Linked DNA regions of Nothobranchius furzeri. The protein of the gene in region 3 purifies or fractionates together with the protein of the main gene of each other region. This does not show direct contact. Links are inferred from orthologs where the notes say so. Each region holds a gene or a part of one and is shown on either strand. Other genes may lie near its edges. The genes, in order: sec23b, sec13 and sec16a.

Region 1 (11,210 bases), about 36 Mb from region 3:
TGAGTGAAACGCACGGTCCGATGGCGCCACAAACCTTCAGCTCTCTTGATGTCTGCAAAGACAGCGTACCTCGCTAATCACCATAGCAACTGGATTTAGAAGTTGAATCCACAGACTGGTTCCTGTACCTTGACCTCCAGGACGCCTCCAAACGCCATGCGGAAGTCGTTGTTGTAGTCCTTACTGAAGACTCGCTGGAAGGTTTGCTTGAACAAGGAGGTGTTGAACGAGTCTCCCATCACGATGTGTCCCCTAAAACAAAACACGACAAAACTCAGTCGCGTTTACCCCAAAACCAGCGCCCACGCCTTAACCCCCCCACGGAGCGCACGTACCCGGTGAGATTAGACAAGCACTTCATCTCCAGCAGCCCCGTCTGGTCCAGAGCGCAGGCGTAGATGTCGATGCAGTGGCCGTTCCCGGCAGACCGGTTGGCCAAGCCTTCATAAAACTAAAACGTAGAAAAGCATCAACCCGTCAGAAAATCCTGAGAAATGATTACGAATACAGTTTTAACAAAACGGGTTTTAGATTTAAAAACCTTCGTGGCTTTCTTCAGATGCCTCGCGTTGTCCTTCTGGATGTCGTGCCAAGAGCGGATGGGGGTTTTCAGCTCGTCTCCCACCACCATGCCGGGCCCGTGAGTGGGCGGGCCGCCGACGAAGAGCATCAAACGGGCTCCCGTGTTGGGGAACGTCCCCTAAAGAGCAAGAAAACGGATTTTAGGTTGTCCCCTAAAGATCTCCCGTTTGAGCTAAACGTTACTTTTATTTCCAACGTGTTGAATCAAAACTCAGTTCCCATGAAGTTGATTTAAAACCAGAAAGTTTAGTGAAAAAAAGAAGCATTTATGATCTTCAGAAAATAACTCGTTCACCAAACGTCCGAACCTCAGCGTCATCTAAACAAGGAGCCGGACAAACAGCTAAACTCCAAAGCACAAGAGTCTGGGGAGGTCCTCAACACGATGAAACGCCTGGAAATGAGCCGTGGGGTCATACACACCTCTATGGGAAGCTTTCAATAATAATAATTATTATTATTATTATAAAAAATAATAGCAATGATGATGATTATAATAATAATAACAATGATAATAATAAATAAGAATAATAATAATGATAATAATAAATAACAAGGATGATGATAATAATAATAACAATGATAATAATAAATAAGAATAATAATGATAATAATAATAAATAATAGCAATGATGATGATGATAATAATAAATAATAATAACAATGATGATGATAATAATAATAATAAATTATAATAATAGCAATGATGATGATGATAATAATAATAATAATAATAGCAATGATGATGATGATAATAATAATAATAATAATAATAATAATAACAATGATGATGAATAATAAATTATAATAATAGCAATGATGATGATGATAATAATAATAATAATAACAATGATGATGATAATAATAATAATAATAAATTATAATAATAGCAATGATGATGATGATAATAATAATAATAATAATGATAATAATAATAAATAAGATTAATAATGATAATAATAATAAATAATAACATTGATGATGATGACGATGACAATAGTAATAATAATAATAAATAAATAATAAAATTAAATAATTATAACAATGATAATAATAAATAACAACAATGATAATAATAAATATAAATAATAATAATAACAATGATGATGATGATAATAATGATAATAATAAAAATAAAAATAAATAATAATAATAACAATGATGATGATGATTTAATTATGATAATAATAATAATTTGACCCTCCTACCTAAAGAGCCATTCACTTTTCTCAGAAGCAGAACAAACACACTAGCTAACGCTGGAAGCTTCAGAGCTGCTGTTTGTGAGACTCGTTTGTCGAGTCGTCGGGTCTGGAGTCGGTGACGGAGCAGAAATCTGGGCACACCTCCCAGGGGCTAAGCAGGGCAGTGATCCCTCACACTAGCAGTTACATAACCACCCAGATTATCAGGAGCAGGGGAGAGGGGAGACCTGTGGTGGAGGGGACAGACCAAACAGGAAGTGGCCTTTGGACCATCGGCGCAAACCTACTGCTGCAGCAGGAGGTGATTATCAGGCAGTGAGTAACTTTCTGAACATGTGGCATCATGAGAAGGCTAAAGTTCAAGTGAAGAAGTAGTTAAAGGCAGCAGACGGCTAAGTCAGCATTAGCTTTAGTGTTTGCTGTACCTCCAGCAGGCTGACGGCGACCGACAGCGCCACCCCCGTGCTGCGGAGGGGGCGCTTCCCTTGAGGGACGGGCCAGGGGTCTCTCTGAAGCTCTCCCAGCAAGTCCGTCAGATTCATATCGACTCGATGCACGGGCTGCAGGAACCTGGAGAGGATCAAACAGAACTCGTAGAAAATGCTGCAAAGCATCCGCTCCGGATTAATGAGCACTTTTGCTTTTCCATACTTGCAAAAGGCAGCGGCCTCTTGAGGAGCCGCAGGGCGACCCTGCTGTGCTGCAGCAGCCGGTTTTGTCAGTCCCAGCAACTCCTGAAATGAAAAATACCCCCCAGATTTTTATAGCTTTGCTCGGCTCCAGCCCTCCCTCCTGCTCTGGTGCTCTGAACCGACCTGGACGTGTTTGGAGGAGAGGTCCTTGTTGCCCCTGAACACGTAGCTCTTGGCGATCCCCTCAGAGCTGAGCTCGTGAAGTTGAACCATGCGTCCAAACGTGATGAGGCCCACCAGGGCGTTGGGGGGCAGAAGGCTCAGCGACATCTGGAGGGACTCCTTGAGGGCCTGGAGATCCTCCTCTTCCAAGCACGTGTCCACGACGTACATAAAGATCAGAGGGGTCGGGGGTCCGCGCTGAGGAACAACAACCCAACATTTCCTTGATGTGAAACTTTATTTCAGAATTCTGAAGTTTCAGAGTAAAGAAATAATCTAATCAGGACTTTTCTTCTTTGTGTTTGCGACTGTAGTACATGATGTGCTTGGGTGAGGTCAGAGTGCAGACACGCACAAGCCTTTACCTGAACTATGTACTCGATGGTGGAAAACTGTGGCATGAGTTCAGCTGGCTGGTTCACCTCCGATATGCCTGCATAAGAGGGCGGGAACTGCACAAACACAGACAAACGGAGCCGATTTAACCAGCCTAATAAAGGAAAGCAGATCCTCCGCATCAGCACTGATAAAGGTGGCGTTTCACACAGAAAACACTCACAGGGTTTCTCTGGAAGCAGAAGTTGCACGCCCAGATTTTAGCCCTGAAGTCCACCTGACTGGAAACAGAAAGAGAGACGTTTCATCGTCTGCTGCGATGTGGAAAAGGTGCGTCCTCATAATCCACACCCAGTACCTAAACTTCAGTATTCAAAAGAGCTAAAGTCTCGGCATCACCAGTTTTAGAAGAACTGAAAGATATAAAGATCATCTTTTTAAGGAGTTTAAAACAAGCACTTGGTGCCAAAAGACGTGTTGCATTATTTTGGAGGAAAGTTGGACCCGACAGCCGTTTTCTGCACTTCGCCTACAAAAGACTCCGTCTCCAGAACCTGTTTATTATAGATGTCACCTGAACTTACAGGAGGACCACAACAAAGACTAAAAATAGTTCCTAAACAGACATTTACAGTATGTGTGTGTATTATGGCAATGATGAATATTTGTGTCGATGTTGAGGCAGTTATACAACCATACATTATAGTTTGTTTGTGTTGTCCATTTAACGTTAACTATAAATAAAATCATTTGGGGGGAAAGCTGCAATATTCCTGCATGAAAAGCTAAATATGAAAGTAAATCTATGCTATTAATAGACACGTAAAACTCTGAGAAACTCACCACAGTGGGTTGAGCACAGCCTTGCAGGTGGCCCGGCTGCACAGAACCGGCTCATACTGAACAGGTGGCAGGTTGGGCCTCTCCTTAAGAGGCGTGAAGAGACAGGAGACGGGAACCACCAGCCTAGTGGCCTCCAGGCGGCTGGAGGGCCAAAGGTTCCAGCTGAACCTCACCCCATCTCGGTCCTCGTTTTGTTGGATGAACTCCTGGTACGTCGACATCACCGATCTTCAGCAGAGAAAAGGTTAAATAATAAATAAATAAATAAATAAAACCACAGTCCAGTTTGGAGTTTCTGTGTCCCAGATAACTGCTACGGTGCTGCGTCCCTCTTCAGGCTCTCTACTCTCTCTCTCTCCAACTAAAGCGAACATCCTCTCTTTATACATGTGAGCCGTTCACTTCAGTGGGAACGAAATACGCGGATGTCCGAAAGCCTGACGCACAAACACGCCGCCAGGAAACCCGCTCGGCTGGTTTTGGTGAGGAGGAAGAACGATGTAGAGAATTCCTAAAACAAATGAGTGGGTGTGCCGGGTGTATTTAATCGGGCTATGCTTGTGCCGGTATGTGCTCATTACACCTAAGTGACGCCTTTTGCAAAGCATCGCCAGGCAACTGCACAAACAGTTTAATCTCACTTCTGACGGGGGACACGGACCTTTTCTCCCCCTTTAAAAAAAGATGAATAAACAAAACTGAGGTGAGAAAAACTATTTATAGAATGGAATGTTTTAAATAGAATGGGAAAATGACAGCAGGAAGAAAATCAGCTGATAGTCATCTCTGATTTCCAATACCACTGAAGTTCCACGTTAGACGAGCCAAATTCTTCCTAAAAACAGATGGTTTGATCTTAAACTCCACATATTTCTGTCAAAACCTAAAAAATCTAATAAAAACATTGCATTTACACCAGGTTATGCATATATTATAACACAGAGTTCATTAAAATGTTACTGTAAACCTCATAAAGTCGGCAGCTAAAGGAAAATGACCTTTTGCCTGACACTCTGAAACTCAAAAATTTGGTTTAGTCGATTTTGTCCCTGAACACACCGTCCTAAAGCAGCAGCAAACAACATCCTCTCAGAGTTGATAGTGAAAAATACATTCTACTGAATGTAATCAATTTTTTGATCAATTAAGGCAGGATCAATTTTTTAATCAATTTCCCTCTGGGATTAGTAAAGTATTTTTGAATTGAATTTGAAATTGAATATGGGCTCAACAGTGACAGCTGCAGGTCAAAGGAAAACAAAATCAGAAAAGAGCATCTCAATTTCAAATACAATAAAAGCCCTGAAGCACAAATCAACATATCCAGAGCCCTTGGCGACTTATTTACGCTGCTTGTTAAGTTTAACCTAATATGTTACTGCACAAGCCCAAATGTCGCACTACAGAACACAGATAAACGCAGAGTTCATCAGAAAGCTGCGCTACAAAGGGTTCCTGACTGGGTTTTATAAAGACCATTTGGATTCGTTAACAGATGTTGGTCGATGCTATTGATGCTGCTGCAGAATGAAAACTGCTTTAATACCAATCCTAACCGCTGACCACTACTAACGTCATGAACAAACCTCTTATTTCTTAAAGGGGAACACAAAGGCCCCTGCTACAAGTCAGATCAAAAATCTGATGACTCTCGGGTCAACAACACAAACTAGGAGCCACGTATCAACCCCGATAAGCAGCAGTGCTGTTGGGACACGTCTCAAGTCACTCAAATGTCGCAATTCTCGTTAAATAGTATATTCCTCTTTTTAATATTCGCTAAAACATCGTAATTAATCACCCAAAGTCTCGCTTTAGCGACAAGGTAACGCCAGCGCGAGCATCGGGCTGAGTTAGCTAACGGAATGTAGCATTAACCCACTTCCTGTCCTCAAATGGAAGCTAAAAATGGGCGACCTACTTTCCCCTGAACTAAACCCAGCTCTTACCTTCTTATAAAGCGAGCTGGCTTCGGCACGAGACGGCGGCTAAAGAGACGGTTGTGTTTAGGATGAATTAGTGCATCTGAAGGTGAAACCAGACGGGCGTAAGTGGGAGGAAGACGTCGGTGAACGAGCTGCTCCCTGTCAGCCGGCTTTTCACTTTACTAGAGTGACGTGTTACTACGAGTTCAGGACTTTCCCATTGGCTCCGCCTTGCGTCACGTGACGCAAGCGTACAGTGAACGTCAGGCGGAACTAGGTGAGCGCGGACCTCTGGGAAATAGAGTTTATTGTGTTGTAAACGGCAAGGGAGCATAAAATATTCAGCCAGGGGTTTTCATCGTCTCTGTGAACAGTTTTGTACAGTTGGCCTGATAATAAGTCTGGTTTAATCTTTGTTTATTTTTATCTGCTTGTTTATTTGCTGACGGTGGTAATTGGCTTGTTGTAAATACCTGCAATAAAAGTAGAAATAGGCCTTGTCTCAAAAAGTTACAGGGTGTCTTTGATGGCTCTTAATGATAATAATAATAATAATAATAATAATAATAATAATAATAATAATAATAATACAAATGCTACTACTAATAATAATATTATTATCATAATTTGGGACTTTATGGTGTTGAAAGTGGACAGAGACTGCTTGCCAATACAGGCAAGCTAATCATGTCTTTTTCATAAAGCGTATTTATACACAGAGGAGTCTAAATGGGCTTTTCATGTGCAAAACATGTAAATTTAAAATCAGCAAAACTGTAAAAATTCACAACATAAACCGTAGCCTGGATTTAAAAATAAACTTGAGATTTCAAAAGAAAATACACTCTGCAAAGCCTTTATCAGGACACGTGTCAGTAGTTTGGATTCAGAAAAATTCAGTTGTAAATGTCAAATTCCAACAGCCATTAGTGAACGTTGATCCCAGTTATTTTCCATTTTTAACTTGATTTTCGCTGTCCGTGGTGCTGACGTCAGAGTGTCCTACAAAGACAAGCCTGTGAAATGTGGGCAAGTTGGACAACTTTTGATTTAGACAAATATTATTAAGTGTAGAATTAATTTTATTTTGCAGCTGAGTAAGACTAGTTGGAATAGGCTGACACATCTTGGCAGTCCATGACATTTTCTTTATTGTTTTATTTCCCAGAAAATATTCCAATATTCACAATGGATTCGTGGGAATGAAACATAACGTTGGGTGGCGCTGTGACAGAGCTCTTTGCTTATTGGGAGGCAAACCTCTGGAGGGAGAGAGCAGGCAGAGAGGAGGAGAGAGCGGGAGTGCTGCTTCCTCTCGGTGTGTTTCTGTTTGAGCCCAGAAGAATCTCCTCTCTGCTTCTCCTCTAAGCGCCAGCTGTGCTTCTGCTGGAGGACCCCACACTTGGATTTGGATTCAGAGTCTGGACCAGGACCACACCTTGCACCCGGCAGCACTCAGCCTCTCGTGCTCTGAGGATGATGCAGTGAGCAGAGTCCAGCATCTTCCGGTCTGCCTGTGTTGCACTCACCCCGGCATCGTCAGCTGTTGCTCTGGGAGAGAGTGGGGGGAGCAGCAAAGAGGCCAAACTATGCCACTGATTTCCAAGCGATAGCGGTTTTCCACCCTTCAGTCGGTAGGGAGCGGATGCGAGCAGCGCCCGGTAACGCACCTCCAAGTATTTCCTGCCGTTACTCGCTGCCGGAGGCGCTGTGCCAATGGAGAAGGCAACTCCGCCGCCACAGCCCCAGCTCCAGCTGTCCATAGCGAAGACCGAAAGTCCAGCCGAGGACATATCCGGCATCGCGGACGAGGAGCTGCTCAGGTGGACCAAAGAGGACCTGGTGCGCCGGCTGAGGCGGTCCGAGGCCGACAAGATGAGCGTGATCCTGGACCACGGGAATCTCATCCGAGAGGTCAACCGCAGCCTCCAGCTGCACCTAAACGAGATCAGGGGGCTGAAGGTGAGGGGGCGCGCGTCGGTAAACGATGAGATCATAGGTTTGGAGTGCACCTGAGCGCGCGCGCACCACAAGAGGTTCTGAAATGAAGCGAGCAGGCAGGATGTGAGATAAGACACTGCAGAAGTTTGGGTGCCTGCGTAGGCCCAGGTGAAAAGAAACATCAAATCTGCAAGGCTTTCAACTTTTTGGGCTCTGAGATGAATTCACAAGCAGATGTTTCCATCTGTGAGCAAAATCAACAAGTTGTGTCTTTCTGGTGTGTTTATCAAAATAACCTCTGTACGGTTGTAAAGAGCTCTAAACTAAAGATGTGCTGGTAGCCACACCCCCGCTACGCTGCTCATTGGCATAAATGTGAGATTAGATTCAATCAGTAAGCATTTGATGTGAAGCTGCAGCTTTCTCCTTTTCAGTCACCCCTGCTGTTGTTATTAACGTGGCACCACGTCCACATGTGTTCACAGTTAAAGCTGAGACCTGCCTGAGGTAGCCTCAGCAGCACACTGGGATCACTCGCCCGCGCTCAGAGACCTCGTCACCTCCACCTCTCTGAGCGGCCTAATTACACTGAAAAGAGCTGCGGGGTTTGACAGGGAGAGGGAGGAATTAGGGGAGAGTTAAACTGTTGCAGGGAGGAAAGAAGGAGTTCTTTTGGTGTTGATAAAGGGATGCTTAATGTCGCTAACTTGTTTCTGTTGCCTAACTTTGCCTTATTTCTGCAGTTTTGTGTAAAAAACTGAGAGGGTTGGGATTCTGTGTCAACATGATTGCATGATGCAGCATTTGAGTGAGATGAAACATGCTTTAGTAACCTCTTGTTTCGAGTAATTTCAGCTCATAGCCCGTTTTAACCCCTTTCTTCTTTTTTTCCCTCTCAGGACATCAATCAGAAGCTGCAAGAGGACAATCGGGAGCTGCGGGACTTGTGCTGCTTCTTAGATGACGACCGTCAGAAAGGAAAGCGTGTCTCCAGGGAGTGGCAGCGTCTTGGCCGTTACAGCGCCAGCGTCATGCGCAAAGAGGTGACCCTGTACCTGCAGAAACTCAAGGAGCTGGAGCTACGACAGGAGGAGGTGGTGCGGGAGAATCTGGAGCTGAAGGAGCTCTGCCTGCTGCTGGATGAAGAGAAGGGTGGAGGAGGCACAGGGGGGAGTGGAGGCGGAGGGGGTGTAGGGATGGAAGGGTGTCACAACTCAATGGACAGCCAGAATAGTTTGCTGCTGGTGCCAGGACAGGGGCTGCTGATGAGAGACGTGGGGGACGGGAGCAGCACCTCCAGTGCTGGCAGTGCAGACAGCTCTGACCACCCCCACCCTAAGCAGGCTCACCTGGCTGCAGGAGGGGTTGTTATTGGTAGCAGCGTGGAGAAGGGCAGTCCCGAACTGGTGCACAAACCTAGGTGTAGCAGCATCAGTGGAATGGGAGGAGGAGGTGGAGGAGACAGGGACGTGTCCAGTCCTGAGCTCCCGGCTGGACGCCACCGAAGCACAAGCCTGGAGTATCCGTACACACTGCCCCAGCTGTGCCGTCCCCGCTGTGGCTCCATATCCATTCCTGACCACAGCAGGGTCATGCGGGGGCTGAGCCCAGAGAAATATGGACGCAACATCGGCCACCGCAGTCCGGAACAGCACCCCAAGCACCACAGTTCTGATCTGGTCCTGGGCCAAAGGCAGCACTACCTGAGCCAAGGGGGCAGCGGGGAGCTCTATCAGAAGTACCAGAGGAGCAGTATTAGCAGCACGGGCTGCGGGAGTCCGGAGCTCCGGCATGCACATTTAGGGCTCGGTGAGCACCACGAAAAGGGCTGCAAGGTCCTGGGGGGCAGTCTGGAAACTCACCGGCACCAGTACAGCGTGAGTCCTGACCATGGGAAGTTCAGCAGCCCTGTGAGAGAGGGCCAGAGGAGGCCAGCTGGAGATGAGCTTTCACCACATCATCGGAGCATCTATAACGGCATGAATGGTAGGTGTGTGTTTGTGACCCCGCTCTGCACCCCCATGGCGCTCACACGACACAGAAAACCAACAAACTTTATCAATTAACAGCATTTTGTAGCCCAAGTCTTTAGGGGATCACAGCAGAATTCTCTTATTTAACTTTCACTGTTTTTCTGCTTCTCAGGATGAATGTTAAAAAAAATCTGTGATAAATAAAAATTATAGAAATATCTGGGGTGATGCTGCAGCTAAACAGAATCGCTTTCATTAGGCGAAGACTCACGGTGACTCTTACCGTGAGTCTGCTCCATCCCGGGAAGATCGGTGGGAGTTATGGACGTCGAAGTGGAGGCGGAAAAATCAAAGAGCCAGCTTGGCTGCTGCTTAAACACCCAGACGTGGCTGATAATGATTTCTGGAGTCCGGGGGAAAAAGTGCTGAGTCGTACCGAGTTCTCAGATGCTAAAGGACAAATTCCTCAAGGTGAAATATCAGCCTGACTTTGCAATTTGAGGCTGAAATTACAAGAGGAATACAAACAGCCCCCCATAGAGTGGCAGGCCCCCTCTCAGGCTAGTCATTACTGCCCTATCAGGTAAACACAGGCGTTACAGTGGGATATGCTCATGTTGTAGTTGAGACAGCTGCCTCATAGTAAGAAAATCTCTGTTTTGGATTGCAGATCTAAGAGCTTTTTTCAACACGCTTTAGTTGTGAGGATCTCTGGGTGAACCTGCTTCTTCCCACAGAATCCAGTAACGCTTCTATACTGGGTTTGGGCGTTAGTCTGTGGGTTCCTTGTGTCATGCGTGTAGAGCGTCATTGGTGGAGTGGAGGACTGGCGGTTGTTCTGGAGCAAAAACAAAGCATTCACCCCCTGTAGGTGGTTTCTAGTACCGTTTAAGCTCCGCCCCTCAAAGCAGTTTAGGGGCGGATTTAGGACTGAAGAAGATCCGGGGCTTAACACACGCGCGCACACACACGCGCACACGCATGCGCGCACACACGTGACACGCACTAGTCAACATCATATATATATATGTCTTGTACCACATAATTTTAAATCTGAAGCTACATATTAAGCATATTCAGGGCAGAGTATTGTTCCTGTTAGTGTTTAGTGTGAGATGATAGTAAATATTCCCTTTCTTTCTCCAACAACTTTACCTGATAGTAAGCTAACTTTAGGCAAACCAACAGCACAACAAATATTTTCAAATAAGACTCACAAACCTGAGTCAACACCAGTCTCATCAAAGCTGGGGTTCTGTCGTTGTACTTTTGGTCTAAAAAAACGTCCTTATGTCCATCTTCACTCATGCGTTTCAGGCAGAGTGTAGAAGAAGCCGGCTACTGAAGAGCTTCTTCTTCAGTGGTGGAGGCTCAGGCAGGCTGTATACAAACTACTGCCAGCTGCGCCCTCTCTGTTGGACTTTGGTACTGCATGTTACTTCCGCGATTTAGATCCGGGGCTTTCCATGAAAGATCCGGGGCTTCAGCCCAAGTAGCCGGGCCTAACGCCGCCCCTGAAGCAGTTACATTAGGATTAAATCTGTTTTGGCA
Region 2 (11,017 bases), on a different chromosome or scaffold from region 3:
GGTAAACAAAATGAATGGGATCGGCTTGGATTTTACTTCGTCTGAGTTTACTTCACACTTTAAAACCAAAGAAATTGTTTTATATAGTCAGAAATTAAATATACTAAACATCTCCGACCCTTACCGTGCCCCTGGGATACTTTTGAAAAGCACCAGAAGCTGTCGGAGCAGACGTCTTACCGGACCTGGCCAGGGAACGCCTTGGGATTCCCCCGGAGGAGCTGGCCCAAGTGGCTGGGGAGAGGGAAGTCTGGGCCTCTTGACTTAGGCTACTGCCCCCGCAACCCGACTCTGGATAAGTGGATGAAAATGGATGGACAAATAACATAGATTTACATGTAAGTAGTTTAAATAGAGTGCTGTGCTATTTGAATGTACAAACTGAACGCCAAGAGAAATCACTAGTTTGATTTTTTTCCATGAATAAAATAATAATGTCAGGCAGGAGCGTCTCAGGATCTGTCTTGGTGAGACAGATAATAGCAATCCAAAGTGCTTTTTATGTGTGATCTGACAATTGATCAACCATTGCTTAAAAATTAAATACAGCTTAGCCGGTTAATTGCTGTGATCATGAGACACGTAAACAGCAGCATGCAGAAATCACGAGGCAACGTTTTACGTGATGTTTACTTGCTGCTATGAGTAATAAGACAGAAAAAGCCACGCCAAAATAAGTTTAAGAAGCCCACTAAGAATCGTAATAAAAGCATTTAAAATAAATACCATACACAGTTGAGGAAACGTTGGTTTAAGTACCTGATATGAAGTGGTCGCTGCATAAGCAAAAACCTTTACTCTCGGGATCCCACAGTTTCATTTTAGCCCGGTCACTAGCGCGTTTTATTACAATGATCCAACGTTTGCGGCATTCCGGATCTTGGGGAATCCTGTAGATGGCTCATTCCTTATGTCGTCCGTGTCTGTTCTGCATCCTGGGGCACATTAGGAATCTACCAAATTTCCCGTTTGATTTGAGTTTTCTGACAACAACACATAGTCCAGCTGTGGGCTTCTGCCTGCCAATATGGCGCCGTTTCAATTTGAACTGTTGCATGCCGGGAGAAGTGACGTCAACTGCTGGAGCTCTATTGAGAAAACACTGGCGTGCTCTGTTGACACGATTGCGCATGCGTCGTGGGTTTTGGCCCCCATCTGACACCATATTGTAGTACTTTTTGGGTCACAGACGCTCACAGCGCCACTCCAACCCCATGAGGGATGAGAAAAATATCAAACACGCCAGAAGTCCGTGCGAGCTCAGGATTGCTGATTGGAGTTAATCGTCTCTCGTTACCCCCTGTAAACTACACAATGCTCAGCACAAAGCTCGCCCCGATCTTGTGGATTCTCGCACGGTGAAAATCGGCTCAAAAAAGTGAAAAAGTCGCTCAGTGTACGCCCAGCTAAAGGTCCCATAAACAGTGAACTCCTTTAAACATGTTTATTTGGATAAAATCTACATTAACCTAATGGGCCAAAATGAGGAGAATTTAGCTTTGACTCTGACATGAAGCATGTATCGTGCTGCAGCCCATCTGCTGTCAGAGGAGATGCTTACAGGTAAATTGCGCCAGCGCTAAGCCGCCACCAGCAGATCGTACTGCAGTCAGGGCAATGATGGTGAGACTTGCCTTCATAGCATTCAGTATAATTCTCCAATCAAAACAAAAAAATGGCTAGATTTGTTGCTATTTGCTTCAATGAAAATTGGGTCTAAAATCTTGCTATATAAAAACAAAGTTGCTGAGCTGGAAACACTGGCTGCATCACTTTCATTGTCACATGTGCAGATATTTGACTACTCACAGGTACTCCACATTCAAAACAAACTGTGATTTAAGAGCGAGTACCTGTGATACGTTCATGTCACTCATCCACCAGAGGGGAAATCTCATTCAGGACAGGCTCCAGAGCTGCCAGTTTGATGCTGGCAGACTGATGGCGAGGTTCAGAGGTGGCTGGTTCTTCCTCAGGAAGGAGCCCAACAGAGAAAGAGCCCCTGGCAGGATGGGGGACAGGTCAACCTGAAGAGGATGGGAAGTTATTTTCAGGTCTCTAGTTTGTCTTTTGTTGAGTAATCTGTGTGCTGAACCTTTAACGGGGAAGCAGAAATGAGGGTGATGGTTCAAACGGTAGTTAGCCTTGTTACCTCATTCTTTAATCTCTCCAGAAAGATGGCCAGGACTCCCTGAAGCTCCGATCCCAGGTGGTCTCCAAGGTGACACACCAGGTGACCCATGCAGGAAATGGCTCTTTCCTTCACTTCCTGGTCAATGTCTGCTGCTTTGAACCACTTCACCATTCCCGAAAACACCTTCAGTAAGAGTTTTATGGAGAACAGGTGACCAAATAAAACACATCTGGACTCAAGCAACAGCTGATCCAAAGCAAATACACAGAAGGATGAAAACAGGAACAAATAAAATGAAGTCAACAAAAGACAAAACAAAGTCTGCAAGAATAAAACTTTTTTTCTTTGCTTTAATTGATTTTCTGAAGGAGCCCGACTCCTTCTCGACTCACAGGTTCTGCCAAACCTGTTTATGAAACCAACACACATTAAAATAAGGTGAAGCAAAGTAGTTTCCTGGAAACAAATTAAATCAAGAATTGTCAAAGGGAATTTGTTTTAAACTCCTGATGAAAACTTGCCTGGGGCCTTATCTTATAAAAGCTGTCCTCCACACACGCAAGGACAGAAGGAAGCAGAACCTGCAGGAGACGTAACCAGATGACACCCAATCAGAAGTTTGGTCTTCAGTGGCCTCTAACTGTCACAATGAGTGCAGGAGGAGTAGGACCCAAAATGCAGAAACACTAGACGACACGAGGCAGGAGCGATTTGTAAAGTAAAATCCCTTTATTTGGATGGGAACAAAACATCCAAAAGGACAGGAAGCCAAAAACAAACCAATGTCCTAAAATCCTGGAGACCAAAGCTCAAAATCCAAAGGGGCAAGGAAGCCAAAAAACCATTGTGCTAAAATCCTGGAGACCAAAGCTCACTTAAAGAGCACAAACCTAGAGACCAAGTGGAGGGGGACAAAACAACGCTGAAACAAACAATGGACCGACAAAACTATGAGACAAGGACAGAGTTTTATACACTGGGGAGGATGAGAGGGAGATGAGCTGCAGGTGTGTGGGGAGAGAAACCAAGTGAAAGCAATTAACTAATCAGGGAGGAAACTAACATAACCTAAGAGTAAAACCTAAAGACAAGAAGAGCAGCAAACATAACTAATATTCTAATGGGGAGGAAAACCACAAACACCTGTGGGAAAAACGCATTAAAGAGACTAATAAAATGAACAGCTGAAACTAAAGGAAAACACTACAGAAAGAAAAACTACAGGGGCGTGACTAAGGGGGACCACGGGAGCACTGGACCTGGGAGGGGGATACCTGGGGAGGGAAACCTAGAGGGCTGCAGATCTGGGGACAAATGAGGAACACAAGAAGACACGTGAGGAAGATGCAGACAAGGACAACATGAGGGCGCTAGGAGACACAATAGGAGAACCTAGAGATGGGGGAGAACACAAGGAGACACATGAGGGGAGACGCAGAAGCAGACCGTGACACTAGCCAGGCTTTTATTTTACGTAGATTCAGCTTCAACGTGTTCTGAAGGGAACCACATAGAAGAACCTGCATGTGTGGCTAAAAGGTTCATGGAGGGTGTGAGAGGAGGAGGACGTTAAAGGAGAGAGCATCGATCCTCATGGTGGAGGAGGTGGACTTGTCTGTCAGGGAGAAGATGATGCCTAGAGGAAAGGGTGAGGGATGAAGAGGAAGAAAGATGAAGGGAAAATAAGGAAATGGGAAAATAAAACAGCTGAAGGAAAAGAAAAAAATGATGTTTTACTGTGAGGAGAAAAAACATAAACCAAAAATGTGATTCATGTAAATAACCCAAAAAGAACATCTTGTTTATCTTCTACTCTCTGGTGGAGGATCCAAGTGCTGCAAGTGGGAATTTATTTACTTTTTTTTAACTAGATAAATATGTAAGTGTGCTGCTTGTCAATAAACCATTTATTTCATATAAAATTGCAATTTGGGGCTATAAGATGTTTTATCAGTGGGCTTGATAAAACATCTAGCTTCCATCCTACCACCTCACACATCACATTACATCACCTCACATCCACAATATCGCATCTCGTTATTCATATCTTGTCATGTATAAATATTAATTTTGTAAAAGAATTAAATTAATTTCATAAACTATATACCTGACTCTGTCTGAATTACAGTAATACAAAGTGTGTTTATGGTCCCTGAACAAGTAAAAGTAACTATATTCTTCTGATTAAACATTCAAAGATCAGTCAGGTTGATATTTCATATTTATATGGAATAATTTGTGTGTGTGTGTGTGTGTGTGTGTGTGTGTGTGTGTGTGTGTGTGTGTGTGTGTGTGTGTGTGTGTGTGTGTGTGTGTGTGTGTGTGTGTGTGTGTGTGTGTGTGTGTGTGTGTGTGTGTGTGTGTGTGTGTGTGTGTGTTACCGTGGTCTGGTGCCTCATATCCACACCCATCAGCGCCTCGCTAAGGAAGACGAACGTGTTTATTGCAGCTATGTAGCGAGGGTCATACAGAATTGCTTGAGCCCTCATCTGCAGCAGCAAGGACCTCAGTAAAAGGCCGAACCTGGTCCTTGGTGGGTTAGGATAAAAACAGCTGTCAGGTCAGACTATTGTGGGTTTATGGCGTCACCTTGTGGTCATCTGGGGTAACGACGTGATAATTTGCTGTCCAAAAATCACAATCTGAGAGACATCTTCAAAAATTGACTATTATTACCAGTTGATATTTAGGAGACCTGAAAAAGAAGCACTTGTTCCTCTTAAAATAATGTTTTTTTTTTGTTTTAATGTTGTATTGAAATGATAAAGGGAATGTAATGTATCGATGTGTTCTGTTTTCTGTCTTTTTCTATTTGTTTACGTGAATTCATGTTACTATTTTATTAGTAATTATAATATGATTACAGACAGGTGTAAATGTACTGTGTGTGTGTGCGTGTGTGTGTGTGTGTGTGTGTGTGTGTGTGTGTGTGTGTGTGTGTGTGTGTGTGTGTGTGTGTGTGTGTGTGTGTGTGTGTGTGTGTGTGTGTGTGTGTGTGTGTCCCAAGTATGTTTGTTTTACACTGAGTAGGAGATGCTCTGTATCTCACTTTACACCTGTATGGTGACAATAAAGGTATTCTATTCTATTCTATTCTATGTATAGAGGGTCTTTGTACATTTAAGTTTCCATCAATAATTTTAGCTTTTAGCTCAAATAAACTGTTTCCTTTTTATTGTTTGATTATTTTTTGTTTGTTTGTTTGTTAAATGAAGCGTTTTTAAAGTTTTTATTATTCTTCTTTTTTAATTCACGCAGAACTATCATTTGGCGTTTTGTTTTACCCGGTAGGAAGTGAGGTGGGACTCGGTGGAGGAAACGGCTTCTGTACTTGTTGCCACGTCGGAATTGTGAACCTTGTGAAGTTAGTCGATAGAGAACAGGGGCTTCTTGTTTACACGGTTTAGCCACAGCCATGGTGAATTTCGTCACTTTTTGTTTTAGTTTCAGCTCAAAATATTCTAGGATGTTGATTTTATGTTTACATTTTGCTGGCTAGTCTTGGTAGCTGTCAATCCATTAGCACGATCGCTAACGGCAGGAGGCTAATCTGTCTGGATATAGTTTTATATTTGCTTGATTTTGTTCTTATTTGTTTGTCAATTGCAGGTTTCCGTTATAAACACGGTGGACACTTCACACGAGGATATGATCGTAAGTGTTTATGTTTTATCCAGTTTTATTTTTATCTCTGATGCTAAAAGCTAACAGTTAGCGGCTGTAGCTTTTATCTTCATTCAGTACCACAAGTGTAAGTGTTCTGTGTAAAGCAGCAGTTTTTAATTTAAATATGTAATACTGTTGGGATGTGTGTTTTGAGAAAGGAGTAGCACATTGTTTTAATTAGTTTAGTGCTTTTAGATCGTTCAGTCAAAATGTTTGTCTTAACTGTACCAGATGCTATAGTGTAATAATTACAGAAACAGTGCTATGTGGATTATTCTGTAGTGTTGACTGTGAAAATTTGTTAAATAGTCTTTAAACTTCACTTAATCGGCGTGTTTTGCATTTTCGTTTTAGTTGTAGGGAAAATCTAGCCGAAATCATTCACGTATTCACATTCTCCCTAAAAAGATAAGATTAATCATGTTCTCAATGTTTCAATTTAAGGAAATCAAAACCAAAACAAACATTCAAATGATGCAGTTTATGCCGCACATTTGTTATGTGATGGTGAAAGATTTAAGGAATGGGTTTCAGTTTAGCACCATCAGTTCATTTATGAATAAACCAGGTGTCATGCTTCCATTGTTTGGTGCTTTTGCTGCCCCATAGAAATCCCCACCAACATTCCTGGTGTTGCTTTGTTGTCTGTTTCAGCATGATGCCCAAATGGACTATTACGGGACTCGACTCGCCACGTGTTCTTCTGACCGCACCGTTAAGATCTTTGACGTCCGCAATGGTGGACAGATCCTGGTGGCAGACCTCAGAGGGTAAGAGATCTAAGCTTTGGAATATGCACAGAAATTTACGTAAGTAGAGTTGTCAAGTGAATGTCAATACACTTCCATTTATTTCCTAAAGATTTAATCTTCACCTGTTCTGTAATGTATTTTTATTTATTTATTTGTGTGTGTGTGTGTCCTGCATCATGTAGCCACGAGGGCCCTGTGTGGCAGGTGGCGTGGGCTCATCCAATGTTCGGCAACATTCTAGCATCCTGTTCATACGACCGCAAAGTCGTCATCTGGAAGGAGGAGAACGGCACCTGGGACAAGATGTATGAGTACACTGGACACGAGTCATCAGGTAGAGTTCTCCATTATTCTAGTGCCGGGGTGTTCATTTCCAAGCCTGGAGGGCCAGTATCCATTATGTTTTAGTTTTAACTGTTTCAACACACCTGATTTCAATCAGCAGGTGATTAACAGGCTTCTGCAGAGCCAGATGAGCTGCTGCACAGGTGATTCAACCATTGAATCAGGTGTGTTAGAGCAGAGAAACTACTAAAATGTGCTGGATACCGGCCCTCCAGGACCGGAATTGAATATCCCTCTAGTGGTTTAAATGTGCTCCTCCTCCTCATTCTGCTAATCCATGTGGCCTTCTTGAAAGAAGTTCAGGTGCTAGTAATGCTGGAAGAAGTTCCGTTTTTCTTACAGATAACAAATGTTTTGATCTTAATGTTGTAATTTTATTTCTTCTTCTGCCCGACAGGTCAGTGTAATGCACCAAAGTACACGTCTTGTTTCAGATATGTTCTCTTTTTTTTTGCCAACACCTTTAGAAAAATGAAATATTCAGATTAAGTTCTGTTTCTACAACATTCTCTTTTGTTTGAGTACATTTCTTTTTCCCTTTCTAATTGATCCTTCCTTTTTAAGAAATTACAAAGAAATTCATGTTCATATATTGGGGCTGAGAGATCAGTTTGACTGAATAGTTTTCCACACAACTTGATCTCGTCCTTAACTCTGTCTCTGTGTTTGCAGTGAATTCAGTCTGCTGGGGTCCGTATGAATTTGGTCTAATCCTAGCCTGTGGCAGTTCAGATGGAGCAATTTCCCTCCTCACATTTACTGGTGATCAGCAGTGGGACGTCAAGAAGATCAGCAACGCACACACCGTGAGTTAAAAATGAAATGGTTTTCCTAAGTTGTCACCAATCTTTTAAACTTTATTCTGTCTCACCTTTTCTAATTTAGTGTTTCTGTGTCTTTTGGGGCGTGAAGTGTATCTTTAGAATAATTAAAAGCTTTATTTTTTGCTTCAGATTGGCTGTAATGCAGTGAGCTGGGCTCCTGCTGTAGTTCCAGGCAGCCTGATCAATCAGCCATCAGGTCAGAAACCAAACTACGTCAAACGCTTCGTCTCTGGCGGATGTGACAACCTGGTGAAACTCTGGAAGTAAGTTGCTGTTGAAAATCTGTCATCCTGTATGGATAAAAAAAAGAACACTTTCAACAGTGAACGTCAGATGTAGCTAATATTCTGTGGCCTGAATAATGTTCTGCCTGCAGAGAGGAAGACGGTCAGTGGAAAGAGGACCAGAAGTTGGAGGCGCACAGTGATTGGGTCAGAGACGTCGGCTGGGCTCCTTCTATTGGTCTTCCCACCAGCACCATCGCCAGCTGCTCCCAGGTCCGATTTCTTTTTTTTTCTTTTTTTTCCCCCCCGTGTCCTGTCTGGCTGTGAAGCAAACAGAATTGATGTCTGAATGCTGGTGACAAGCCTTACAGATTTACTCTCAGGTGGAGCATCAAAGCGTCTGCTTTTAATGTCACACCTGGTACTTAAAACTTTATTGTTATTGTTTTTGAATGCTTTGTAATTCCGACCAGACACGGAGTCAGAGGTGAAAGAGAAAGAAAGATACAAAAGGAAGAGAGGGGGGGCAGGTTGTATTTCTAAAGAAATCTCATGTTGAATTTTTCACCTCATCACCAGGTGGAGCCATAGATGACATGTTTCAGAAAATATTTAGAGAAATTAAATGTTAAATATGGAATAGGGACACTCTGGTGGTATTGCAACAACAGGACTAATTTTCCAGCCGTTGGGATGTTGGTTCACTGCTGACATGTTCCAGCACCGTGTTTAGAGACAAATCGTACAGAATATAGACTAATTTCTACTAATGAGTTTATTATTCATCATTAGAACATCTTCTGGACTCAGAATCAGCTGCTTGACTTGTCAAGTCAGCCATTTTACACAGTCCCAGCCTCGCCTTGCTCAGCGGGTGCTTTAGCTTAATGGTGCCCAGTGGCTGGTAGATGTAAACATAAACCCGGCGTTGTGCCCGACAGAATAAAAATGTGATACATATTTTTTTTAAATATAGCTTTTAAAGGAGAAACTACATTCATTCTGCACACCTCTCAACGACCTGTGGCGGTATTGTTTTTGTAAATATAGCTTTTTATTTAAACTGTTCCATATGCCACCTTTAAGTTAAACGTTTGTTTAGAAGCTTGTCTCTGCTTTATAAAATGTCAGATTAGGTTTTAGTACGAATTAAAGTTTCTCTTAGAAAACTAAACTATTTGTCTCTGCATCTCTTTCAGGACGGGCGTGTGTTTATATGGACGTGCGACGACCCCGCAGGTAACACATGGACGGCCAAACTGCTGCACAAGTTTAACGACGTGGTCTGGCACGTCAGCTGGTCCATCACTGGAAATATACTGGCTGTTTCTGGTGGAGACAACAAGGTGCAACCTATCACAACCTTCCATGTTTGACCTTCTAAAATTAGTAAATTAAAACTTCCAGGTGTGTTTTGTTAATTATTTGAAGTTTTTTTTTATTTTATCGCCTTACCTGTAGGTGACGCTGTGGAAGGAATCGATGGACGGTCAGTGGGCGTGTATTAGTGATGTCAGCAAAGGCCAGAGCGCCGTCTCCACCATCGCAGACACACAGCAGAATGAGCAGTGACCTGGACGGATGCACCCACCTGTCAGTGACCCTTGACCCTAAAACAATGACCACAGCCTTAATAATAACAAACATGCTAGACATTTGGACTGATGAGAGCATGTTGTCCAGAGTGATGGAGCTCAGTCTGTAATCTGTAGTCTGAGTTGGACGTCTGCTTAATCCCACATGAAAAATAAACTTTATGCTCATTTTGCTGTTTAGAAACATAATTAGTATTAGATTTTGTAAAGTCCAGTCCTGTGTTTCTGCTTTTGTTCTACACATTTGAAAGTATTCACTTCCTTATTATTACTGGTCCAAATGGTCTCTCACACACACACACACACCTGCTTTTCCTCTCTGTGGTGCTCTGTAAACATTCTGCCTCCACCAGTGGAAAACAACGCTGGCCTGAATCATACAAAGCAGTGTCCTAATTTTACATTTTATTTAGTATTTCTGCACATTAGATCCAGCTGAAGCCTTCAATCTGTGAGTGACGTAAATCAGAGGAGAAAACACTTGGCTGCCAGGTTAAACTTTAAAAGTGATTTATTGTCACGTTTCTAAGTGTAAAGCAAAAACCTGCTTTAATCAGCTTCACACTGAACTTAACTAAGCAGGAAAGCATTTTTCTTGATTAAATTAAATTGTTAATGATTAAATGTTATGCTGTTGTTCTGTTTGTTATTCATCTAATAATGAATCATTGGTGAGCTGGCACAGACATTCCCAGTCAGTATTTTTATGTTTGATATTTTTATTTGCAGCAGTTAAAGCTGTTTGATCTCCAGCCACACGGTGAGAGGTTTGGTGGGAGTTTAGCTGCTTTGTTGTTGTTTTTCTGTTCATCTCAGACAGGAAGTGTAATATGATGCTGGGGGTGCATTTGCAGGAAGTTAACAAAGGAATGCCATATGTGCATCTTTATGACCGAGGGCGTCTTTTCTCCTTTACAGCCTCATAAGTCAGAGTTTTTGTGGATTTGCTTCAGGAATAATTGTAATTATCTTAATTGGATTAAATGCAGGTGTTTTTATTCTATATGTTTGAGGATGATTTGTTTCTGGAAACAAAAACTTCCAGTGGTGCTGCAGAAGATTTATGTTCAGAAATGAATCATTCTTTTCTCATCCAGTCATTTTCAGTATTTCCCCATCAAGAGTCTGCAGCAGATTAAAGTGTATGTTCTGCGAAAATTTAAACAAATGCATGAATCTCCTCGGTAAAAATGAAAGTACGTTTGGATGTGTTTATTAATTTGCTTCACTTCCTCTTGCCCTCTCTGCTGCCTCATCATTTCTTTACTAACATGAAAATCAGAGATTGTTGTTCAAAGGTTTGAAGTCTATTTGATAAAACGACATAATGAATGAATAAAAACATTCCTAAGATGATGAGAGGAACTTGATGTGTCGCGGGAAGATTCTCAGATCCGGAAAGCTATGGCTGCGTTTAGAGACAGGAAGTAGGGTCTCTAGCTGATAACATGCTGCTGGGCGTGTTTGCATCTCTGTG
Region 3 (10,480 bases):
CATGGCTGGGAGCCCAGAGACTGAGCATACTCGTAGGCTTCAGTCCTCTGGATTGCTTCATTAGTGGAAAATTTAATAAAGGGCAAACTAAAGTGAAGAGATAAAGAAAAAGTTATGTTTCTCAGTATAATTTATAGAAATATTACAAGACTAATCATGTGTGTGTGTGTGTGTGTGTGTGTGGTGTTCTAACCTGTGGTTTGAGCCAATCAAAACGAGCTTGGTGCTCTTTTTGGTGAAAACTCCTAAGCCAACTTGAGCCATGAGGTAGCAGAAGTGTGCAGCATCTGTCAGCCCCTTAGAAGCTGCACAAAGTAAAAAATAAATAAATAAAAAGATGATCTCGTGAATCAGGTCGGTTATAATCAGAGGATGAGGTAAGTGGATGAACAACCCTACCAAGAGTGTCGCCCATAGTGGTGATTGTGCGAGAGTCCAGGTCCATATTGTGGGTGAGGTTAGACAGTATCATGGCCAAATGAGGGCGCCAGTCACCCCACTTCTCTTCTCCACAACACTACATGCACACAAAGTGTATCAATATAAAAATCTGCACACTAGCCTTATATCCTTCTTATATACACACACAAACAAGGTACAAGTAAAACCTACAGTGGCCGATGCGGGCATCCTTCCGGACATCAGCTGGTACATCGTCTGGAGAGGGTCATTCATAGGCAAACTATTGGCAAACCTAAACAAACACACAAAAATACATTTAGAATAAAAAGAACATTACTTTTAAAGTAAAAAATGATTCCAGATCAGGCATTTTACCTCGTCATGACCCGTGCATGTGTCCTGTTGTCCATCTTACTGGCCAAAAGTAAGGCGTGACCCCAGAGCCCTCCCTTCATGGCTGCTTCCAGCGCATCCTTTCCCATAAACCAAACAGGTTAAAACGCTCCATGTGTCAAAAGTTACAAATAAATCACAGACAGACTTTAACATTTCTTACTTTTTTGCGGCCAAACAGTAGCAGTTCCCTGAAGCGCTCCGTTTCCTTGCCAACATTCTCGGGGACAGTCATGAAGGTGTCCGACAGAAGGGACAGGGGTCCAGCTCCAGGCTCCTCTTCAGCTCGAGCGATGGGCTCGTTATTAAAATCAATCAAGTTGGCTTCATTGGGACTCTTCCCTGGCAGCCACACGGATCGGTGCTCCTTCAGCAAGAGGTCAGCGATGTCTGTGCCAACGACAGTCTAAGGGAATGAAAAAACAGTTTTAGAACATTTAAAAAAAATAACATCTCAACTTTGCTTCTTATCTAATAAATTTGTAGCTACATCTGCATAAACCTACCCCGTTCTGTCTACAGAGCAGCACGATGAAGTCCCAGAGCAGGCGGGCAGAGTCCCTGTCCAACAGGTTGTTATCCCGAGAACACTCCAGTGCTTTGTTCTGGGAGAATTTGATCACATCCACCTTATGGGTATCCTCCCTGATGGCATGATGCACAATGTTAAGATAAAAAGGACTTGCCTAAACCAAAGTCTAGGTCAAGTTAACAGCTGTTGTCATTCTTAAAAATAATCTCAAACAACATGTATGTATTAGCATAAATCTGAAATAAGCGTCATTCATTCATTAAAAACATAATTTATTGTTTCTGTCTTCAGGTATTAACTCAATCCTGAGGTCATTTTACTAAATAACACTGGTAATTACTTCAGATTAATAGGGCTGTAGTGAAGCCTCGATGATGTCGACGGCTCGATTCTAAAAATTTGTCGATGTCAGATCCAGTAGTCGACGCACCGCGCCCACTTGTTGCATCCCCAGGAGTTTGTAAATAGAGGAGGAATCTGCCTGTTTTTCCTCTAGTTCACCCTCTTCTCCGCCTTCACTAACATCTCTGCCAAACACCGAAGACCCGGAACAATGTCCGTCCGCTGCTAGATTCCTCTCCTGTTTTGCCCGCCTTCGTCTCCCGGCAACGGACAACAACTTCTGGGGTCAGATGCACTGCTTCATCTCTACCGCAGATGTAGAAAATCACCGGGAGCTTTTCTCCCTTCATAAAAAGAGCTTCTTTCAGACATTAGGAGAGCTTTTTTGGTGGTAGCAGTCTCCCCTCCGTGCAGGTCTGTTTGCTGCTGGGTACTTTTGGTTTATTTAAACTTGGCAACTTGAACGTAAAGAGCAAGTCACCCCCAAATAAACTTTTTTTTGCTGATAAACTAAATAAACGAGTGTCTAATCGTGCTGCAGACACGTGTAGTCAATAATTTGGCACTTCAGTGCATCTTAGTTAAAATTTAAATATTCTGCCTAAAACTGGCATTGTTGTGCCATTGTCAGGTAAAAACTCTGCACTATATTTGAATTTAAATCTGCCACTGCTATTGGCTAAGAGGTATGCTATGATGTAAACTGGTACATTATGATGTAACAGTGCTGTTGTGAGCCTGTGTGTGTGTGTATTTGTTAGCAGCGCTGCCCTCTCGGTCTGCCAGGCAACAGCATTTATTGCATTTTTCAAACAAGAAGTGGGAGTGGAGTTACTCTGGTAGGGGGTGACTTGCTCTTTAACGTTGGTAAAGCTACTGTTAGCATTTTCGCTAACAGCTTCTTGCGTTTGGATAAGCTGCTACGTTTTGGTTTAGAGTTCATCTTTTTTGTGGTGTAGATCTCCCTTTTATTACATTTAGAGTGTTGTGGGTTTTCGGTTTAGTGTAAAATATCACCTTGAGTTTCGTTTAACCACCCAGTTTAGAGTTTGGACCTTTGGAGATCCTTATTTTGGTCCAGAACCCAGTAATCTTTGCCCAGTGGAACATCCCTACTTATTTGTACTTTTGTTTCAATTCCTCACAGGCAGAATTAGTTTTATTATTCCCAACCTGCGGATGGAAAGATTTATGATTTTTTGTTGTTGTAAATAAACCTGATCATCATTTTAACTTTTAAATCCTGTTATTGTCCCTTCCTTTTTGCACACGAGCCAAACTCCTCAGGAAGGGTCGTAACACCACTCGCCTCACGCACATAAGTGACCAAAACAAAGCAGCATGGAGACACTCCGTCTCCAACCACCTCTCAGGCAGCAGCCTGCACTCCCAAGTTCTCCATGTCACCAGAACATAACCGACCGCAACACAATAAAAGCAGTGTTATGAAAACTGGAAGGCCTGTAGTGTTTATTCTCTTACAGTAACAATTTATCAATTTTTTTGAGGAATTTTTTGGTTTTTATTTTTCTATTGCACAGTTAATAATCATTAGATTGTCTAAATAGTCATTAGAATAGTCAATTATTCACTAAAATAATCGTCAGAATAATCGTTTACCCCCAGCCCTACAGATTAACAAATAAACTTACTTAATAAGGGGTCCAGGGAAGGTCCGCAGTTCAGCCTGATCTGGGGTGTCTTGAAGCATGGTCTAAAGATACAAGAATGAGTAAATGTATTCTTTGTTATCATCCTAACAATTAATAAAGTATCGAATAGTGATGAACACAGTAAAGCAACTTCAGAAGTGTTAAATACAATAATACTTTCATAAAATTACAGTAAAATAAAACCCAAATGTGTTGAAGTGTACCTCCATGTTGTGGATTTCGACCAGAGCGGGCTGTCCAGCTGAGGGGAGATTAGGCAGAACCTGAATCAGATGACCACCAGGGCAAAAGCGGGCACAGCGGTGGGGTACGGTGAACTTTTCTGGGGTTGCAGGACGAGGCGGAGCTAAAGAGAATGCAACAGTCACCGCTTTAGTACACCACACTCATACACGAATAAATGAGAAGAAAAATAATAAGATATTCAATCATATTTAAAGTTGAGGGCTGTTCACGTACGCTGCTCAGGGGCAACCCAGGTATTGTCTACGGAGTACTCTGGAGGATACGTGTACTGGCTGTAGTTCTGAGAAGCATCCACTTGATTCGGGTATTGCCCGTAAGAGTAGTCCACAGGCATTGTTGACTGTGTGGTGTCATAAACCGCAGACACCAAATCAGGCTGGCTCCTATACACCTGGCTCTAAAAAAGACCAAATATAAAAATAACCAAAAAGGGCAAATGACACAACTAATATACAAATATTAATCTGGAAAAAAGTGAGGCAAATTACATTTATTGACATTTATATATAACAAAGATATATTAACTTGTGTAAAAACCCTTTGAGAATGAAACTTCTACAGGCTTTAGACATAAACAGTCCTTCCTTGTTTAATTAGTAACTCTCCTATTAATATCAGAACAGCAACATTTGTAGCAAAAACTATTAAAATTTAGATCTGCTATTGTAAAGACAGAATAAAATGCATGTCTGAGTATCCATTCAACAAATGAAACTGCTGATAAAGCTAATGTATAAATATAAAACTTAAATATTTTAGTTAATATTTATAAAACCCAAATAAGAAGATGAGTCACATGTCCTGATTGTAGGAGAATGGATCTCGATGAAGAGACTAATCCAAGTTTGTTGTAGAGTCAAAGATGTTAAGACAGGCATTAAAGGGGAAACTAGTTTTGGCTTGCTTTTAGCACCCTCTAGTGTCCATTTGTAGAATCAAAAGAAAAATCTGCTCACTGCGTCTGTCTTTTTAACACCTTAATCTAACGTTTAAACCAAACTCTGGTACTGACCAGACCAGCCGATGTAGCTAAGCTAAGTAGCATTGCTAACGCTGAGCACAGAAGATAACATAAGAAGAAGAAGAAAGTATAATTTCTATAGCGCCTCTCAAGATAAAAATCACGAGGTGCTTAAAGCTGAAAGCTGAAGCTCCGTCAGTGGTTTTATCAACAATCTGTCGCAGCTAGTCTGCGTCTCTTCTCAAAATCCATTCGGGGTACAGTTCTGGCTAATCAACCTTAATGGGCGATGGTGGCACAGGAGTTAAAAGCTTGCCCCGTAATCGGAAGGTTGCTTGCTGGTGGTGGTCAGAGGGACCAGTGGCGCCAGTGCTCGGCAGCCTCGCCTCTGTCAGTGCGCCCCAGGCCAGCTGTGGCTACATCGTAGCTCATCCCCACCAGCGTGTGAATGTGTGTGTGAATGGGTGAATGACTGATGCTGTTGTAATGCACCTTGGGGGGTTCCATGATTCTAGAAGGCGTATCAAATACAGACCATTTACCATTCTAACAGCTAAATGTCTCCCCAGCCTTCAATAGTGACTACAGGAGTGATTCATCACTAAAGTAAATAAATCAGATGTGTTCATGACCTAAACGTGCTGGAAACAGACTGCAGCGCCAGGTATGTCGCTCAAGTTTTTCTAAGTCCAACAAACCGGACGGGCAAATGTAAAGCTGCAAATGCAGTTTTCTGGCCACAGGGGGTGACAGGGGCTGGGTGTACTTTCAATAACCCTGTAAAGGTTCATTTTAGCACACACTGGCTCAAAGAAAATTTTAAAATAAAAAAGTATCCTTTAAAAGTGAAGCATTCAACAAGTTAAACAGAACCACAATAACTGGAAAAAAAGATTATATTATTTTGACGGGAAAAGGAGCTCCCTGACAGCAGTACGCTCACTGAAATCTGTCTATGAGTGGCTCCTCAAAGTGGATCTGCGACAAACCTGAACCTGACAAAAAAAAAAAAAAAAAAAGTTAAGCCAAGATGGGAATGACGGACCTGCTGAGATCGAGAGCTGAAGCTGCTCCGTCGGCTGTGGTGACTGTGGGAGCTGTGCACACTGTGTGCCGACCGCTCGCTGTGCACGCTGCGTCGGTCAAAGTCATCACCATACGCATCTCTTCCACGTTGATTATCATCATCAAAACTGGCGTCATATCCAGGATAGTACCGCCACTGGTCATCATACCCATCTTTCCTGCAAGTGAGAAAACATCTGTAAATAAAACACCACTCTGTGGATATAAATCCATGACACACAGCCACAGTTCCTATAATGTTTCCCATCACAGCTAAATTTACAGTAATGCAGCAAACATTTAATGTTCTAGTTCAGGGGTGTTAAAGATGCGGCCCGCGGGCCAGATCCGGCCCGCAAGCGGGTTAAATCCGGCCCGCGAGACGATTGTGTGAACTTTATTTTCATACTTTACAATGTAGAGTGAAAATAAACGTATCTTTGTGAGCAAGTTTTCTCTGTAATGAGTATAAATAAAACAAAGCTGCGCTCAAGGCTCACACAAGAACTTGAATCACATCCTGAAGTTGGCTGCCACTCGGGATGTGACTTCTGATATTGATGTGCTGGTGAAAGCTAAAAGATGTAAAGTAAAATGAGTCAAATATACTTTAAGTGCTGCATGAAACTGATCTTGCCATGTGATCTGTAAGCTCTTTGAATCACTAAGGAATGTTTTTTTATTGATTGATTTTTTATTTATTTTTTTCAAATTTTCAAGTACACTTCAGGTGTTGTACTTGTACTACACTGTCCTCAGGCTCCAGTCTTGTTTTATATTGTTTCAATTAAAACAAAGAAAACAATCTGAAGTTTTTTTTTTATTTACCGGTCCGGCCCACCTGGGACTAGATTTCCCTCAATGTGGCCCGTGAGCTAAAATGAGTTTGACACCCCTGTTCTAGTTGCTGCACCACTTCAGATGTGAAGAACGTTTTGGGTACATACCTGGTGGGATACACAGGTTGATTATAGTAGCTGTTTCTGTAACTCTCATTGTAATATGCATAGTATGACTGATCATAGTATCCTCTGTATCGTGGGTCGTATTGTCCATAGTTGTATCCTTTAATGACAAAATATTGGGAAAAGTAAGAAAATTCATTAGAATGTTATCTTGCTACATTTAAAAGTAAACCATTCAGACTAGCAATACTGCAGCTCTTACCTCCATAATCATAGTGTTTGGGATAACCTCCGTAATAATCACTGTAGGAACTTCGGTTTGCTTGCTGGTAATCATCGGTGTATCCTTGCCTTTAAGGAAAAGCAGGCACAATAAAATTCAAAGAATAAATAATCAAAAGCATGTTTTAAAGCCCCGATTCCAAGCCAGCACAAAGTAATCCCACTAAATAATTTCCCCTCCAGAGAAGTGAAGGTAATAATGAATTGAAATTTAACAACAGTGAACGATTATTATTTTAAAAATGAAAGTGGCGGGTATAAATGGATCATGTGACCTCTGGCTGCGAGCAAATGCTCCCTCTTTAGAGTGCGATTTTTTTCATGTCCTACTCAAGACTCAAAGAAACCTAGCAGCCTTTGTTCAGAAAAAAAAGACGTTTTTTGCTTAAATAAAATACCACAATGGTGGGCACAAAGACGAGGCTTCTTTTTAACACTTTAACCGTGTTTAATCCAGCTGTCACTCAACCAAACAACAAATTCAAAATTAAAAAGAAAAATCAAAATTTACCTTCCAGCAAACATGTGCTGCACTTCTATTAAAAAAAAAATCTGTTTTTGGACTTCTTCTGTGTTGCAAATCAGTACATACATCATGACGTTGCTCAAAGAGTCACATGCACGAATGAATCACCCGTTATTTATTGGACTGATGTTTGGCGATGGGAAAAGTTATACAAATTGCCCAACCCTACTAGGTGCCCGTCTCACAAAAACCATCATTCCAAAAAGGTGCTCTGCTTTTGCACAATCAGCCTTTCCACTCAAAACCATCAAACAGCAAAATCAGCATCCTATCTGTAGGAAACTATCCCGTCATCTGTACACTTTTTCTCAATTTTGCCAACTTGCAAAAACATTTTAACAATAATAATAATAATAATAATGCATAGAACTTATATAGCACTTGTTTAGGACACTCAAAGACGCTTGCATGCACTCTCACATTCACACACTGCTTGTGATGGTAAGCTACGTTGTAGCCACAGCCGCTCTGGGGTCGGTCTGACAGGGCTGCCAATTGGCGCCACCAACACAGGCAAGTAGGGTGAAGTGTCTTGCCCAAGGACACGACAGCAGAATACCCCTGGCAGGAGCTGGAATCGATCCCGTGACCCATGATCATGAGGCAACCCGCTCTACCTCCTGAGCTACTGCTGCCCTAGTAATAATCAACAGGGCCAACGTCAGGCAGCTTATGACTAAATATTATTTTGTTCATTTTTGTTTAATGACTTGTACCAGTGATTTTAATTATAAAGTTATCTAGGGTAATTGTCTTTTTTAGCAAAAGTATCTTATATTAAATATGAAGCAATAACAGCAGTATTAGTTCATTATGTTTTGTTTTTTGTTGCGCAGACTTGCTCGTGGACAGCTGATGGAGATTAGCTTTAGCTAACTCTGGTCCAAAGCATCTTTTCTCTTTTCAGATGAATGTTTATGTACACAGACGCTGGAAAATAATCAATAAACACAATTATTATACATCAATTATTTGTTCAAAATAGCTACATATGTCACTGAATACCAGGGGCAGAAGCTAAAATGTTAACTATTCACAAAACTTAATATAAAACGACTAAAACATTAAATGGGGAATGAATGGCTAAAGTTATCAAAAATGTAGACAATTCAGGCTCATCTTCCAGTATTCTACAGTAAAAAAAAACACAAACAGTTTTTGAGAGGCTGGAAGTAAAATATTCCATAAAGAAATTGAATGGACATCATTATTTTATATTGTTCTGCACATTAAATCATGAAGGGTTGACTGACCTTGATGAGGGTCGATCAGAGTACTGACTCGTCCTCGAGCTGGGTCTGTCTGGTTGTGGCTCTCTGTATTGGTAGTTTGGATCATGGTAGCCTTGGGTCTGCCCCTCATATCTGCCATACCAGGGGTCTGCTCTGCCATGGTATGATAAATCCTAATAAAATAAAGCGTTAAAGAAGAGAACACTTTTTTTTTCTCAAAATAGGATTCAAATGAACAAAACAGAAAGATCCAAACCACCTACGTGATAATATGCCTGTGCTCTTGGATCTCCAGGTGGAGGAGGGTACTGGCTTGGAGGATACGGCGCTCTGCTATCTGGGTATTCTCCATAATTCCCATAATAACCACTCTGTCCTGCCACAGGGAGTGATGGGGGTCCATAAGCATGATGGCTGCCTGCTGAGGAAGGTGGTCGAGGTGGCTCTGCTGAAGATGGGTGGGATGCCCCTGGAGGTGCTGGACCTCTCGGCCCCGGTGGGTATGCGGTTGCAGTGGGAGGAGCGCTATCTGCAGCCAGTCCTTGTGCTGGATTTGATAACTGACCAGTAGGAGGTTGTGCTCCACTCACAGGAACAACTGGGGCATCTTTCTGTCCCTGGGGTGCAGCCTGAGAATCTGATGTCTTAGAAGATTCATTCTGGGACCGCTGTGGGTTTGCTGCAGCTTGGGAGGGTGCGGGTGGTACCTGTGGGGTAAATGAAGAAGCTGTGGTCTGGATAGAGGCATTCCCTCCTCTTGCCACCTGCTGAGCATCTTTGGTGACCTGCAGGTAAAACCCATTACTAGAAGGTAATGACTCATGTAGAGAAGAAGGTCGATCAGATGCTTGGCTTCGAGTCTGTGATTGGTGCATAGAAAAATCAAGCAGCTCATAATTTGATGCCTGATTATGATTAGAGACAGAAGCAATCACAATGGAAGAAGAATGTGAATTAATGTGAATGGCAGCTGGGTTATCTTCACTCAGTGATCTACCTCTTAACAGAGGCGGGTTGACTTGCGGAGGCAGAGACGGGGTTGTGATTTCTGATGTTGGAGCTACAGTTTTGTCTCGAGTCAGATTCAGTGGACCCTGGTTAGCAGTTGAGGAGCTAAAATTTATGGGTCCAGCAGAAAAAAGTGGATTTTGTTTGGAAGGTAGAGAAGGTGATTGAGAGATACTGGCACCCTGTCCCTGTGCAGGTGATCTATCAGGGGGGGTAGCTTCCCTGTGACTACTTTGGGTGGATGATTGAGCGAGGCCACTGGGAGGAATCACACTGTAATTGGATACAGGCGGGGCAATCAAAACAGGCTGATGAAGTGAGCTGGACACGAGGAGAGAGGCGTAGCCCAGGTTGCTCTGAGAGTCGGTTGGCTCTGCATCACTCACCTTTGGTGGGTTCTCTAGATTTTCTAAATGTTGCTGACTGGTTGACTGGATTCTCTGTGGGGGCTGCAGGTCTAGCGGACCATCTTCTGGTGGTTGAATGACATCAGTGCTAGGCTCTCGTAAAGGTGCCAAAACTGTGGGAGCAGCAGGAGCAAGGAGGATGTTAGCACCCAAGCTTGTAGGATCATTCTGAGCCCACAGAGTAGTCGCCGGACTCTCACACGGCCGACTGGCCCCAAAAGCACGAGATGAAGGCCGAGAGTGGGAATGAACTACTGGTTGTGTCAGATGAGGGATTCCACCTCCAGTAGCAGCAGGCTGGGGGTGTCCTGGGCCATAAATATTCTCCATATTATCCGGTGGCTGTTCCAAGTTTCCAGACGTGCAGTCAGTGCCTCTTTCAGCCACCATTTTTGCCCTATCCACCTCAGCTGGACGCACCCCAACCCCATGTGATCGCACAGGTTCAAAGGAGCTGTTAGCACTTGCTTGAAAAATACCAGTTGGTTTTGGAGGGCTAGGTGTGG

The links.
Region 1: the proteins of sec16a (region 3) and sec23b purify together in Homo sapiens (affinity purification with mass spectrometry; 3 studies listed by BioGRID and IntAct, with this or other methods). This does not show direct contact. The link is inferred for Nothobranchius furzeri from reciprocal best matches to the Homo sapiens genes SEC16A and SEC23B.
Region 2: the proteins of sec16a (region 3) and sec13 purify together in Homo sapiens (co-immunoprecipitation; 4 studies listed by BioGRID and IntAct, counting the BioPlex papers as one, with this or other methods). This does not show direct contact. The link is inferred for Nothobranchius furzeri from reciprocal best matches to the Homo sapiens genes SEC16A and SEC13.

The regions. Positions count from the first base shown.
Region 1 is NC_091746.1:24,264,936-24,276,145, reverse strand, and holds the start of sec23b (protein transport protein Sec23B), read right to left. Parts: upstream 5,924-11,210; 5' UTR 5,770-5,923; intron 4,049-5,769; 5' UTR 4,042-4,048; coding exon 3,821-4,041; intron 3,259-3,820; coding exon 3,201-3,258; intron 3,094-3,200; coding exon 3,007-3,093; intron 2,840-3,006; coding exon 2,603-2,839; intron 2,522-2,602; coding exon 2,439-2,521; intron 2,358-2,438; coding exon 2,213-2,357; intron 701-2,212; coding exon 542-700; intron 452-541; coding exon 336-451; intron 253-335; coding exon 129-252; intron 53-128; coding exon 1-52. Other genes in the region: ccdc85al (coiled-coil domain containing 85A, like), read left to right, coding at 7,462-7,707, 8,586-9,672. UniProt on the Homo sapiens protein: Component of the coat protein complex II (COPII) which promotes the formation of transport vesicles from the endoplasmic reticulum (ER).
Region 2 is NC_091743.1:73,556,028-73,567,044, reverse strand, and holds sec13 (protein SEC13 homolog), read left to right. Parts: upstream 1-5,419; 5' UTR 5,420-5,549; coding exon 5,550-5,552; intron 5,553-5,743; coding exon 5,744-5,788; intron 5,789-6,454; coding exon 6,455-6,570; intron 6,571-6,734; coding exon 6,735-6,886; intron 6,887-7,569; coding exon 7,570-7,703; intron 7,704-7,850; coding exon 7,851-7,984; intron 7,985-8,097; coding exon 8,098-8,218; intron 8,219-9,144; coding exon 9,145-9,291; intron 9,292-9,406; coding exon 9,407-9,517; 3' UTR 9,518-10,169; downstream 10,170-11,017. UniProt on the Homo sapiens protein: Functions as a component of the nuclear pore complex (NPC) and the COPII coat. At the endoplasmic reticulum, SEC13 is involved in the biogenesis of COPII-coated vesicles.
Region 3 is NC_091746.1:60,759,807-60,770,286, forward strand, and holds part of sec16a (protein transport protein Sec16A), read right to left. Parts: coding exon 8,823-10,480; intron 8,733-8,822; coding exon 8,581-8,732; intron 6,871-8,580; coding exon 6,782-6,870; intron 6,680-6,781; coding exon 6,562-6,679; intron 5,794-6,561; coding exon 5,595-5,793; intron 3,986-5,594; coding exon 3,802-3,985; intron 3,689-3,801; coding exon 3,546-3,688; intron 3,384-3,545; coding exon 3,322-3,383; intron 1,441-3,321; coding exon 1,302-1,440; intron 1,202-1,301; coding exon 959-1,201; intron 876-958; coding exon 778-875; intron 695-777; coding exon 613-694; intron 518-612; coding exon 400-517; intron 306-399; coding exon 194-305; intron 88-193; coding exon 1-87. UniProt on the Homo sapiens protein: Acts as a molecular scaffold that plays a key role in the organization of the endoplasmic reticulum exit sites (ERES), also known as transitional endoplasmic reticulum (tER).